Bombyx mori: one gene and its partners. The protein of the gene in region 1 interacts with the protein of each later gene in a pairwise test. Links are inferred from orthologs where the notes say so. Each region holds a gene or a part of one and is shown in the gene's direction. Other genes may lie near its edges.

Region 1 (4,135 bases):
CTACCACAATTCTCGCAGATAAAAGCAAGTCATCGACAGTAGTCCCACAGCAAGCCAGCATCGCAGCCTCGATAGGACCATCGCAGCTGACTCACCGCGCTTCCTGCTCCTACGGCACGCACCTACACTGCCTCATCACGCAGCATTCAAGCTCAGTCTCGACTCACCGCAGACTACGAGCAGCACTAGCGACAATCACGCAGCAATTCAAGCTCAGCCTCGACTCACCGCAGGCTTCGAGCAGCACTGGCCCTTGCAAGCTAATCTCAGCATGGACAACGCTAACTAAAAATGACACGACCTCCAGTCTCGGAGGGGAGTGATGTGGCGGGTAGCCATCATACAACGCAAGATAATTGACAGATGTCTGAATCTCGCTTACGACATTTTCAAGTTAAAGCGCATATATACAAGTTCCGAACAACAGCATTCGGACCGTCGGTCTACCGAGCAATATCACCAGCTCGATGGAAGATCTTCCCTCGGTCGTTAAGCTTCCCCTACACTAATTTCACCAGGACAGTTAGGTGAGCAAAAGCGCAGCCAGGAGGGGTGGGATTACTTAACAGCTGCCCGAGCGCCTCCGAAGGAGACTTATCAACTCAAGAGTAGCTGCTTTGACAGCTGATCCGACGAGAAACTCAGCGGGCTGATACATAGATTAGGTTGCACGTCGAACTCTTTGTCGAGTTCTATGAGTACGGTTACCGGGGTCCCTGAGCCTGCTACTAGTGTTAGAGCTGAAGGCTTCTAATGCAAAGGTTATTGGATCTGATGGATCCGTAAGGACGTGTCTAGGGCATCAACGGTGACTGGCTCCTGCATGATTAGAATTCGAGGAGTAATCAACGGTGGCACCAATAAGGCGATTATCATGACGCATAGCCTTATTGTATTATTTATTTTATTTTATTTTATTTAATCCATTCAAGAAGATGACACCTTAAGCACAAGTTCAAGTACAAGTTCTCTAGTAAGTTCCTACCTGATTTTATATGGGAAAACCCATACTTTAATGTTACTAACATAACTCGAAACTGCCAATATTGATCAGCCTATATATTAATTTCCATTTAACAAAAGTGAAGGGCAGCGGGCTCGAAATTAGAAAGACCTATAAAACACGCTATAGGTACTGATTTCGACACAGAAACTTCCGGACAAGCAGGAAAGAATGATAAGTGTCCTGATCCTGATATCACCAAAAGCAAACTACATTTCAGATTAATTATTCAATTTTATGGTGTTTAGTTTTAAAATGTGCCGGACGACTACATACACATCTTTGTATAAATCCTTTCACACGGACTTTTGTAAAAATTATACAGCCACATATTTATAATCTATGACCAGGTTTTTCCACTTCCGTTTTCATGATTATCGTTTTCTTTTCTGTCAAATCCACCGTGATCCAAAATCGGAACATTGACATTTGACGCCATATTGCCCGACTTTCAATTACACACAGTAAAGCGTCGGATTGGTGAAATTAGTCGATGAAGCCAACATAATAATAAGTAAACGTTTAAGCAATAGTAATATTCTTTAGCTATAATGTCGGGTGGAAGCAGTAGCAACAGAAATGAGTGTCGTATATATGTTGGAAACTTACCACCGGACATAAGGACAAAGGATATTCAAGACTTGTTTTACAAGTTCGGAAAAGTAACGTTCGTTGACCTAAAGAACAGAAAAGGTCCGCCATTCGCGTTCGTGGAATTTGAGGATCCCAGGTGAGTGTTGAATTCGAAAAGAGAAACGGGCTATCTATATTACTAACGTTGTCCATGTCTGAGTAGCGATAATCATCCCGTGTCAGGTGGACGGAATGTTCAGCTGCCTTTGAAGAAGATTTAAAAGAGCGCATACGTTATGCCGCATACACCGCTATCTGTACCCGACTATAGCGAAATGAACAATTTTATTCAGCGTTAATATAATTTTCCACACCACAGATACAGATACAGATTAAGTAAACATTTTTACTGATAAATGAAAATGGGACTTTAAATTAACAATTAATCATTTATTATTTTATGATTAATTGACAACTAATTAGTTTAAAAGTTGGCACATATTAAAATATATGAAGGGTGGCACAGATTTAATAGTCTGCCAGAGCACCTGTATCCATAAATCTAATAATATTCACCTATGATTTCTAATTATTTCAGAAAAATTAAAATCAATAAAATTTGCTGATTATTGCCAATTATATAAAATTATAACACACATATAAACACACAACATATTAAATTAAAATTACACAATGAGTGATGTCAAAACTGTGTGTGATTGGTTCTTTTATTAGATATGTCCACTTCATGGTGAGTTGTTACTGTCACTAATGAACGTCAAGAATACCAGGTGCACAGCTCAGAGCCTGCCTTGTTTCACTCCTAGTAGAATATACAGTCATATCTACCTAAATTAATCTGAGACAAGTTATTTTAATAAAATCTATTTTGGAATTCAGAGATGCAGATGATGCAGTAAGAGCCAGGGATGGTTACGACTATGATGGGTACCGTCTTCGAGTCGAGTTCCCTCGTGGAGGTGGAGGTGGAGGCTCTCGTGGTTCTCGAGGCGGTGGTGACCGTTGGGGTGGACGAGGGGCAGCACGTGGTCCGCCCGCTCGACGCTCTGAATACCGCGTGCTCGTTACCGGCTTACCGCCCTCGGGTTCCTGGCAGGACCTCAAAGACCATATGCGAGAGGCCGGCGACGTATGCTTTGCAGACACCTTTAAAGATGGATCTGGTGTTGTGGAATTTTTGAGGCATGAAGATATGAAGTATGCTGTTAAAAAGTTAGATGATTCTAGATTTAGGAGTCATGAGGTTAGTTTCTTCCACTTTATTTGAAAATAATTATAAACATAACCTGTAATGTGAAAGAACAGTACTGTTGGTGGATTGTCCCAAATTTTTTATCATTGTTACCCAACGTGGACATAAAAGTTTCAAGATAATCAATTGTGTCAAATACTTTTATAGTTTAATTTGAATTAGTTAGAAGTTTAAGGCTCATGAAGGAGAAATTAAACCATGGGATAGTGCTTAAACTGTTCATTTACAAATAGCTGCTCAAAATCAACAACTGTTATTTTGTGTCAAACTCAGTAGATATCTATAATGTCCAAAATTGCATTCTGTAAAACTCAAGTAAATAAAGTAAGCAAAACAAACTTTTGAATTCTTTAGCTAGGTTGGACTAAGCTGTCTCCTTTTTCTGATTATTTGCAATACCAGTTTTTTTTTTTTTTTTTTTCAATGTTTTTTTCTGCCCATACTTGTTACCAATTTGTTTACTGAATTATAAAAAATGAGATTGTCCTTTCAACATACAGTTAAATATTTTTTTTAAAAAACAATTCACTTGTCAATTATGGTAAAGTAATTTCAGTTTGAGAAAAACTGATATGAGATTGAAAAGAACAAATGGAATGTAAAATGAGATGTGAGGCAACAAAACATCATCTCAGCTTAAGTAAACTGAGTTTGCTTTCATATTGATATTACAAAAGAAATTTGAACCATGGATCAAATTTGAACCATACTTTCTTAATCTTGATATTACAGACCTTATGGTCATAGATGATGAAGATTATAAAATGAATGAAAAGAAAGCTATATTACACTGTAAAAGCGTTTTACAATCAACTCAAGAAATTTAAAAAGCAAGCAGTGTCATGTAGTGCAAGATTTAGACGTCTATTAAATATTCATTTCCAGGGTGAGGTGACATATATACGTGTGAAGGAAGACTATGGCGGTGGCGGCGGTGGCGGTGGTGGCGGCGGCGGTGACAGGTACCACTACATACCATTACTACATTAACTGACTACTATATCATTTAATTGGCCAAATATATTGATTAAACTAGCTGACCCGGCAGACTTCGTAGTGCCTCAATCGATAAATAAAAGACCTAACTATTGTATAAAATAAACTTAAAACAAACAAAAGGAATCCGTCCAACGGGGGACACATCAAAGGAAAAACAAAATTTTATTTTACCTTTTAAACGTCTGGACTTCCACAAATAATTCAAGACCAAAATTAGCCAAATCGGTCCAACCGTTCTCGAGTTTTAGCGAGACTAACAAACAGCAATTCATTTTTATATATATCGA
Region 2 (4,186 bases), on another chromosome or scaffold:
GACTTCCACGGTGAAGGAATAACATCGTGTAATAAAAATCAAACCCGCAAAATTATAATTTGCGTAATTACTGGTGGTAGGACCTCTTGTGAGTCCGCGCGGGTAGGTACCACCACCCCGCCTATTTTCCGCCGTGAAGCAGTAATGCGTTTCGGTTCGAAGGGTGGGGTAGCCGTTGTAACTATACTGAGACCTTAGAACTTATATCTCGAGGTGGGTGGCGCATTTACGTTGTAGATGTCTATGGGCTCCAGTAACCACTTAACACCAGGTGGGCTGTGAGCTCGTCCACCCATCTAAGCAATAAAAAAAAAATAAAAAAAAAAAAAACTTAAAAATGGTTCCAAATACTGCACATCCATAAAAAAGTCTTTATCAGAAGAGGAAGATAAGGAAGGCGCAGTATTTTTACCACCTTTCCTCTTTTTGCCCTGCGTACTAAATACATCTCTGTTAGATCTGCCTTCAGCAACAATTCGTCTTATGGTAGTATTTATTTATTTATTTATTTATGTGCGTTCCCCTGACGAGTCATTGTCAGGGACATTTTTTATGCTTATTTGCTTTTTTGATAAATTTTATTTTTCACCATTTGTAATGTTAGGTTCGTATTTCGTTCTTTTATAATTTTCGTTTCTCTGCTTATTACTATAACCTGGAAAAACCAAAATCCGGTCGTCCAAGATTTTCGAGAACACTCGAAAACGTAGACAGTGTTGCCCAGTCTATTCGGGACGATCTGAACCTTTCAATTGAGAAGCGTGCGGTGGCCTTAAACGTGCACAGATCGTCGTGATGCCCTATTTTGCATAAAGATTTAAAACTGCACCCGTACAAATTCAGTTGGTGCAAGAATTAAAACTTCAGGATACTGGTCAGAGGTCAATTTTTTCCTGGCAAATTGATCTCCAGGAGAGGTGACATAAGTTGGCCTCCACGCAGTCCCGATTTGACATCTATGGACTTTTTCCTGTGGGGTTATATCAAATCCAAAGTTTACACCAACAAATCGACTTTCACACACAATTAAAAGAAAATATCTATCACGAAAGCCATCACGGAGAACACCTGCCGAGCCGTCATAGGCAATTTTAGTGCTCGATTAAACGAATGCCCTGAACGCAACGGTTTACATTTCGACGATGTCATTTTTAAAAAATAAATTCCAAAACAGTGTATTTTAATATGTAATAAACATTTTTTCAATAAACTCCTTACTTTTTTTAAAATTATATTTTTAAATATGACATTTCCTTTGAGACCCTTCCTTCGTTTTTTTTATTATTCATAAACTATTTTCAATAATTAAAACAGCGAAACATAAAAATCTTTTACTTGACGCTGGCTAATGCACAAACCGTACGGAGCCAAAAATAAAGACGAAGTGTAATCCATAGGTTATACAGGTGTATAATCTACAAATGTCGCCATCCATTTTGTTTCACATTGAAAAAGAACAGGTTTAAGATTCACAAGAGAGACGCTATTTAGTTTTTGGTGATTAATTTTGGAAATATTTGGATTGCTAATAACGTCCAAATATATAATTTAACTAACCATACTTAAAATTTATTGAGTGTAGGGTAATTTTACACCATCAAAGTTGTTTAACTCTTTTGTAATTTGCGTTGTTAATTAAAAAAAGCTATTATTCAATTATCATTGGCTTTATCTCAGTTAACTATTCTACACGCATGTGAGAAAATAAGGAAACCTTAAAGAACTACTTTCACGGTATTTGTATACTGGTGATTAAAGCTTCTTCGACACGATGCCAAAACGTGGCGGTGGAAGGAATAGAAATTGGAAGGCTGATACTGACCATTTTGGTAAGTGGAACACTTTTATTTATATTCTGTTGTGATTTTGTAGTTCCTACAGTGAATTATCAAAAAATAATGTATTCCATTGTTGTTAGCGCTACTTATGTTTAATACATAAAGGCAAAATCATGCATCATAAAGTTCATGATACCAATGAATAATATATGAGTTTTTAAAGTTATTGACTATTAATACTTGATTTACAAATGATATACTTTCAGAACACGATGACCGTGTCAATAGTGTGCCGAGACATGTCAGTTTTAAACCTGGAGCTAAAGGAAAAAATAAATTTCGAACTTGGAAAAATCCTTTAGCCCTCCTTGATGATGATATTGACATGGGTAGTTCTGCTCTTCAAGGACCGGTCCGGAAAAGTTCTTTCAGGGGACGTGGGAGAATGTACTCTCCAGCTCCGCAAGGAAGCCACGGACACACTAAAAAGAAATTTATTCCTGGTGTACTGCCTTGGTACCAAATAATCATTCCATATGGAGCAAAACATGAAAAAGATGTTATCCTCCGAGCCTTGTTGGGTTTTCTTTCACCCGACATATTCATTCCACATTACTATAAAGTCAATGGAAATGCTGCAGTATTCTATGTTGATGATGTCAAAACAGCTGAAAAACTTTATAATGCTGATAGAAAGATCACTATGTCAGATGGTTTTAAGTTAATTGTTATTGTGAGGAATGCTGTTCCAAACATGGCCATTGACGCTGCCATGAAAGAGAAGATGAAATTGACAATGGCGAAGAGGTATAATGCTACAACTAAGGCATTAGATTTAACAAAATTCCATGCTGATCCAGGTGATTGTCCAATTATATTGTTATTGCTTTACATATTCATTATTTACAATACATTCATTGCAATGTCTAAAATTCAACTTGTTAGTAAACAGCTTAGTAATACATATTATAATTTCTTTTTCATTCAATTAGAGATATAATAAGCTAGACTTTTGGGAATAATTTCTTATGGGCCCACATAAGCTATAATCTATTTAAGAGCGCATACTGGTTTGCCCTTTTATAATGCAGCAATGTAACAACAATATTTATAACCAGTTATTTTATAGAATGTAAAGACAATAGTTTTACTGGGTGAATATTGAAATAATACTATTTTTCAGATCTAGAAGATATATTTTGTGCACTGTTCCGTCCAATGATAATGTTGGCTGCTATAGATATAATAGCAGAGAATATTCCAGACATAGAAGCTTTGAACCTAAATGATAATAAGCTTCATGGTTTGCAGCATCTCAAGGTTTTGTCTTCAAAGCTCAAGAATTTGAAAATATTGTATATGGGCGATAATAGGGTAAGACAAATACATTTACGACAATTTAGACCAGTGTAAAATTTCAAATGACTGATTCATATTCATATCATCATCTTCAGTGCACATTCCTATCTAGGCATAGTTTGAATAGCCCCACAAGCTAACAGTAATTAGGTAGGATACAAAATCCCTATCTACATTTGACAAATAAATTTGTGGTTTTTTTTTTCTTTATTATATACCCCAACTAACAATCTTTGCAATTAATTTGTTTTCACATGCACTATATCTGATTGTTAAGGTAGACATTTTTCTCAATTTTGTGTAGTGTAAGTATTTTTCTACTAACTCATCATTTGCATTACATTAGTAAAATATAAAATAAATGTAGTAAACGAAAGACATCTTTAAAAATATATGAATGCTATTAAAAAACCAATAATGTACATTAATTATCATTTAAACCTTTTCCAGATTCCATTCCTTGGATCACTGGACCCAATCAGATCATTACCGCTAGTTGAGCTATACCTCAAAGGAAACCCACTGGTGAACAGGTTTCATGATCACGAAATCTACATAAGGTAACGCTAATGTTGTAGACAGTATCTTTGGGGTCACACCCCAAGATATTTTGAATATCCTATAACACAGTTTACCATTAGCGTTAAGCCATGGAAACTTGACAGCTATATAAAATCAAACTGTGGCAGTACTGTTGCTGAATTGTGCTTGTTTAAGTAGATGAAATGAGTAAAGATGTTTTTTATCATAAGTTAAATTTGTGATAACATATATTATATTCCTATACTGTTTATAACAAAATCAGTAAAATATCCCTTAATAAAATATACTTATAGTTGACTAATCTTTTTAAAAGACATAATTTTACATAGCAAAAAATTGGCAGGATAATTCCATAAAATTTCTTGGGAAATGTCCCAACAGACAATGAGCCTTCTTATTTCCATATTCCCCTGACTCACATATTTATCAGAGTATTAAAATAATTGATACAAAATAGTAACATTTAAAAATATTTACCTAGGAATAGGTCACTCACAGCATTATAT
Region 3 (4,263 bases), on another chromosome or scaffold:
AATAATGTCCACGGGCAGCGCGGTCTCCGTCAATGTTCATTCGGAGTTGTCCGATTGTGCTGAACTAATTTTAAGTGATGAAATAGATGTTTTTTTTCTAATTGTCTTACAACTTCAAAAATCTGTCACAGATAATTTCCCAAGCAAATATAAATTAATCATAAGTAATTAAATGTAATCAAGTTTTAGTTATTTTTTTTTTTTTTTTTTGTCAATGCATTATCGATTGCACCTAAATTCATGCCATCTGCCGTGTACTTTTGTCAGTTTTTCAATGTTTTTATTGATGATCACTTTGTTATTGCAACTAAATAAAATAATTGATTAAAATCAAGGAGTGCAAGCTCTAGCTAATTTCTGGGTAAATAGGGATAGCACCTATTTTTGCTTTCTTAGCTTAAACTCGAATGCTAATTGCATAGCTTTAAATTGGATAACAAAGATACCCCCAAGACTCAATCATTTTGATCCTGATATAGCATTTTAAACATCAACAACTACCTTAAAATTGTTCATCAAGTTGGAATTTGTCCCTAACCACCCCGTTTTACCAGTACATACTGTTCTATGGATTTTTCTATAATTTCTACGGACTTTTTGGCGGGAATGCGAGGAGTGAAGTTGTGTGATTTGTTTTATTTTGTCTATTTAGTGTTTCTTCGGGTTTAAATGTGTAATAATGGTGGTTTATTAACCGTTTAATATCTGTGAAAGTGCACAAATGTGGGAAAATGAAACAAAGCCGCTGGACGTAACTTCTCGGGATCCTCCAAAAAGTCCATTGAAAAAATCTTAGTAAATGACCACCATTTTACTGAGATTAGATTTCATCTCATATCATCTCATTTAATTTCATCCCAGTTGATTAATGTCTCAAATTAATCATTTTCATTTCATTTCACTCCATAATATCATTTTTCATAAAATTAAGAATATACATTAAAATAAGATATGACTTAAAGGTCTCAGTTACCAGGTCATAAAATCTCTAAAAATATAATTTCTACAGGACTTTTTGGCGGGAACGCGAGGAGTGAAGTTGTGTGATTTATTTTATTTTGTCTATTTAATGTTTTTTCGGGTTTAAATGTGTAATAATGGTGGTTTATTAACTGTTTAATATCTTTCATTTTCCCTCATAATATAAATGAGGGAAAATAAAAGAAAGCCGCTGGACGTAACTTCTCAGGATCCTCCAAAAAGTCCACGGAAAAAGTCTTAGTAAATGACCACCATTTTACTGAGATTATATTTCATCCCATATCATCTCATTTCATTTCATTTAATTTCATCCCAGTTGATTGATGTCAATGTCAAATTAATCATCTTCATTTCATTTCACTTCATAATATCATTTTTCATAAAAATATGAATATAAATTAAAATAAGACATGCCTTAAAGGTCTCAGTTACCAGGTCATAAAATCCCTTAAAAACTAAATAATTTCTACACAATCTGTAATTGACAACTGATCTGTATTAACATAGATAATATCTATGCATAGATTATACACTTAATATTATCTATGAACTGATCGTGGTCGGCAAATGACGCTATCGGATTTCGAAGACGACATTGTTTTACTAAGGTTTTACATTCATGAAACGTAAATAAAAACATAGTAGGTTGAAAATGTAAGTGTTTCCTCAACTTATTCTATAAAAATTCTACTATTGTACATTTAGAGAGGCCCGTTAACATGTTTCATTTCAATACCAGGGCTAGAAATAAATCGCCTTTGCCTGCAGCTGAGAAAGAGAAGAAGAAACCCAAAGAAAGCAAGAAAAAGAAAGGTGACTCAGGCTCCAGCAGCAGTGATAGTAGTGGAAGGTATCCCAACTAATGTATTATTAAGATTTGTAACACAATTCTTTGGAGGTTATGTTAAAAGCGGGCTTTCTTTCTTCAACGGAAGTTATAATAAGAAATAGTCAACTTACTATACACTACTAGAAAAACCAAATAGATACAAAAAACCCACGCAAATTGTTAATATCTTGCTGAAGTGATTATTGGTACAAACTAAATAATGAAAGTACATAAGCCTTATCCTGGGAGTTACTTTCTCAACCAATATAATTTAAATCTATTTTCAGTTCATCAAGTAGTTCTTCAAGGTCATCCTCTCGGTCATCATCCAGTAGCTCAGGAAGTTCATCACGTTCATCTTCATCATCCAGCTCATCTAGCAGTAGCAGCAGTAACAATGGCCGTTCAAGGCCTAAGAAAAAGTAAGCTTAAAATTATAAGATAAGGATTAATATAATTATTATTAAACAATCTGCAATTTCTTAAGCCAAAGCGAAGTTTTTATTCAGTACTAGCTGAACCGGCAGACATCGTAAACCAAAATTAGCCAAATCAGTCCAACTGTTCTCGAGTTTTAGCGAGACTAACGAACACCAATTCATTATAGATGTTCATATTTTGTTAAATTTTGATAATATTATGGGGGGCACTCCATACAATCCTGCAATAAGGTTGAAGGTCAGATAGATCTTTAATAAGTTACAGTATATGCTGAGTAGACCATCAAAATGTAGAGCAAATCAGGTTTTTAGAAAAAGCCATCTGCTTTATATGTTAGCTAAATATGTTATGATACATTCTGTACTGAAGGAATAGGGCGTAGTTATAGTTCTTCAATCTCATGTTTCGAGGTGAATGACTGCATCAATATTGTGATATGTAAGGGCTCCATTAACACTAGATGGCCACAATCCTATCCACATCTAATGGAAAAATATTGCACTGGTAGGTTGTTATTGAAACAATCAATAACAATATTGAACAGTAGGTATTTAAACAGTACTTAATTTAACTAAAACAATATTTAATTTTCTATAATTTAGTAGAAATCTGAAAGTGATTACTCCTAAGCCCATAATAGGTCTTCTTTTTTCTACAATATGATATCTGATTCAGGAAATATAATATTCATGTAATAACCTGATATATGAGTCGTCTATTATCAAAGGCGGCAATCTGTGCATTTGGACAAAAAAAAATTATTGATATGTCAATACAGATTGATTTGAATATAATCGTCTTCTTCAAAGAATACGGTTCAAAACCTGCATTAAATAAAGGTTAATACTTAACCTGTTATTTATCTAAGATGTCGATCGGAAGAGTTTTGTGACTGCCAATGGAATACAAAGTCAATAATTTGTTTTCTGATTTACCAATAATTATCCAAAAGTCACATTGCCGGCTTTGATAATAGTTGACTCATATATAGTTTTCTTTATAATGCAGGGACGGAAAGCCACAAGTAAATTATTAATTTATTTCATGATCATTACAGTACTAATTAAAAGAGAAAAAAATACAATCAGAATTGAAACACTATTTGATAAAATAATAATTTGAAGTCAATGAAATTGATCAAAGCTTTTAAAATGTTTTTTTTTTATGTTTGGGCATCATGCATGTTAAGATTGCTAACCTGACCATACATTTTCTTTATTTTTAGAACAATTTCACCAAACAAGAGTCCACTTAAAGATCGTCGTGATGCTGATCGGGAGAAGATTAGAGATAGATCACCAACAGGAGAAAAAAAAAAATCTGTGTTACCTTTATCAAATGACAAAGCTAAAATTAAGGAAAAACAGGAACGGTACAAAACAGTTATTATTTTAAATTATAGCCTTAATACGCCATATTATGGCCCCTGGTAAAATAATAATAAGAATTTCTTTTTTTCTCTTCAGATCTCCAGGACGTAAGAAGCGAGAACGCTCACCACCACCACGACCAACTCGTATCCACATTGGACGACTGACTTTAAATGTAACGCGTGATCACATCCATGAAATATTTTCGACATATGGTACTGTGAAATCAATTGAGTTTCCTATGGACCGACTTCACCCACATAATGGAAGAGGATACGCATATGTTGAGTTTAATAATGCTGATGAAGCAGAAAATGCTATGAAGCACATGGACGGGGGTAACCAACTTAACACTTATCTTTTAACTTTAACCCTTAATATTTTTCTCCCTGTAGGGAAGTTTAATATTAAGTATGTGTTGGGGATGCACTGGAACAAATTCTCTATTTTATGTCTGCAAATTCAAATCTTTACCATGGAGCTTTTGTTGATTTTAATTCTTTATTGGTCACCAAAAAAATTCAGTCTGACTTGCACAAACCGGTAAAGATGTGACGAAAATTAGCATGGCATGGTCGCAAACGGACTACATGGCGGCAGGAGATAACAAATGTCTCCCAGATTCTAGACCTTGGCCCAAGA

Evidence for each region.
Region 2: the proteins of serine/arginine-rich splicing factor 1A (region 1) and nuclear RNA export factor 1 interact in binary tests that used the Homo sapiens proteins (3 or more experiments, as listed by UniProt). The link is inferred for Bombyx mori from reciprocal best matches to the Homo sapiens genes SRSF1 and NXF1.
Region 3: the proteins of serine/arginine-rich splicing factor 1A (region 1) and ribonucleic acid binding protein S1 interact in a two-hybrid assay, tested with the Homo sapiens proteins (2 studies listed by BioGRID and IntAct, with this or other methods). The link is inferred for Bombyx mori from reciprocal best matches to the Homo sapiens genes SRSF1 and RNPS1.

Annotation. Positions count from the first base shown.
Region 1 is NC_085122.1:429,901-434,035, reverse strand, and holds the start of serine/arginine-rich splicing factor 1A, read left to right. Parts: upstream 1-1,335; 5' UTR 1,336-1,554; coding exon 1,555-1,733; intron 1,734-2,476; coding exon 2,477-2,840; intron 2,841-3,734; coding exon 3,735-3,811; intron 3,812-4,135. UniProt on the Homo sapiens protein: Plays a role in preventing exon skipping, ensuring the accuracy of splicing and regulating alternative splicing.
Region 2 is NC_085124.1:4,529,786-4,533,971, forward strand, and holds the start of nuclear RNA export factor 1, read left to right. Parts: upstream 1-1,386; 5' UTR 1,387-1,771; coding exon 1,772-1,829; intron 1,830-2,044; coding exon 2,045-2,638; intron 2,639-2,961; coding exon 2,962-3,152; intron 3,153-3,587; coding exon 3,588-3,697; intron 3,698-4,186.
Region 3 is NC_085114.1:7,346,411-7,350,673, forward strand, and holds the start of ribonucleic acid binding protein S1, read left to right. Parts: upstream 1-1,463; 5' UTR 1,464-1,633; coding exon 1,634-1,635; intron 1,636-1,720; coding exon 1,721-1,831; intron 1,832-2,097; coding exon 2,098-2,232; intron 2,233-3,476; coding exon 3,477-3,623; intron 3,624-3,717; coding exon 3,718-3,959; intron 3,960-4,263. UniProt on the Homo sapiens protein: Part of pre- and post-splicing multiprotein mRNP complexes. Auxiliary component of the splicing-dependent multiprotein exon junction complex (EJC) deposited at splice junction on mRNAs.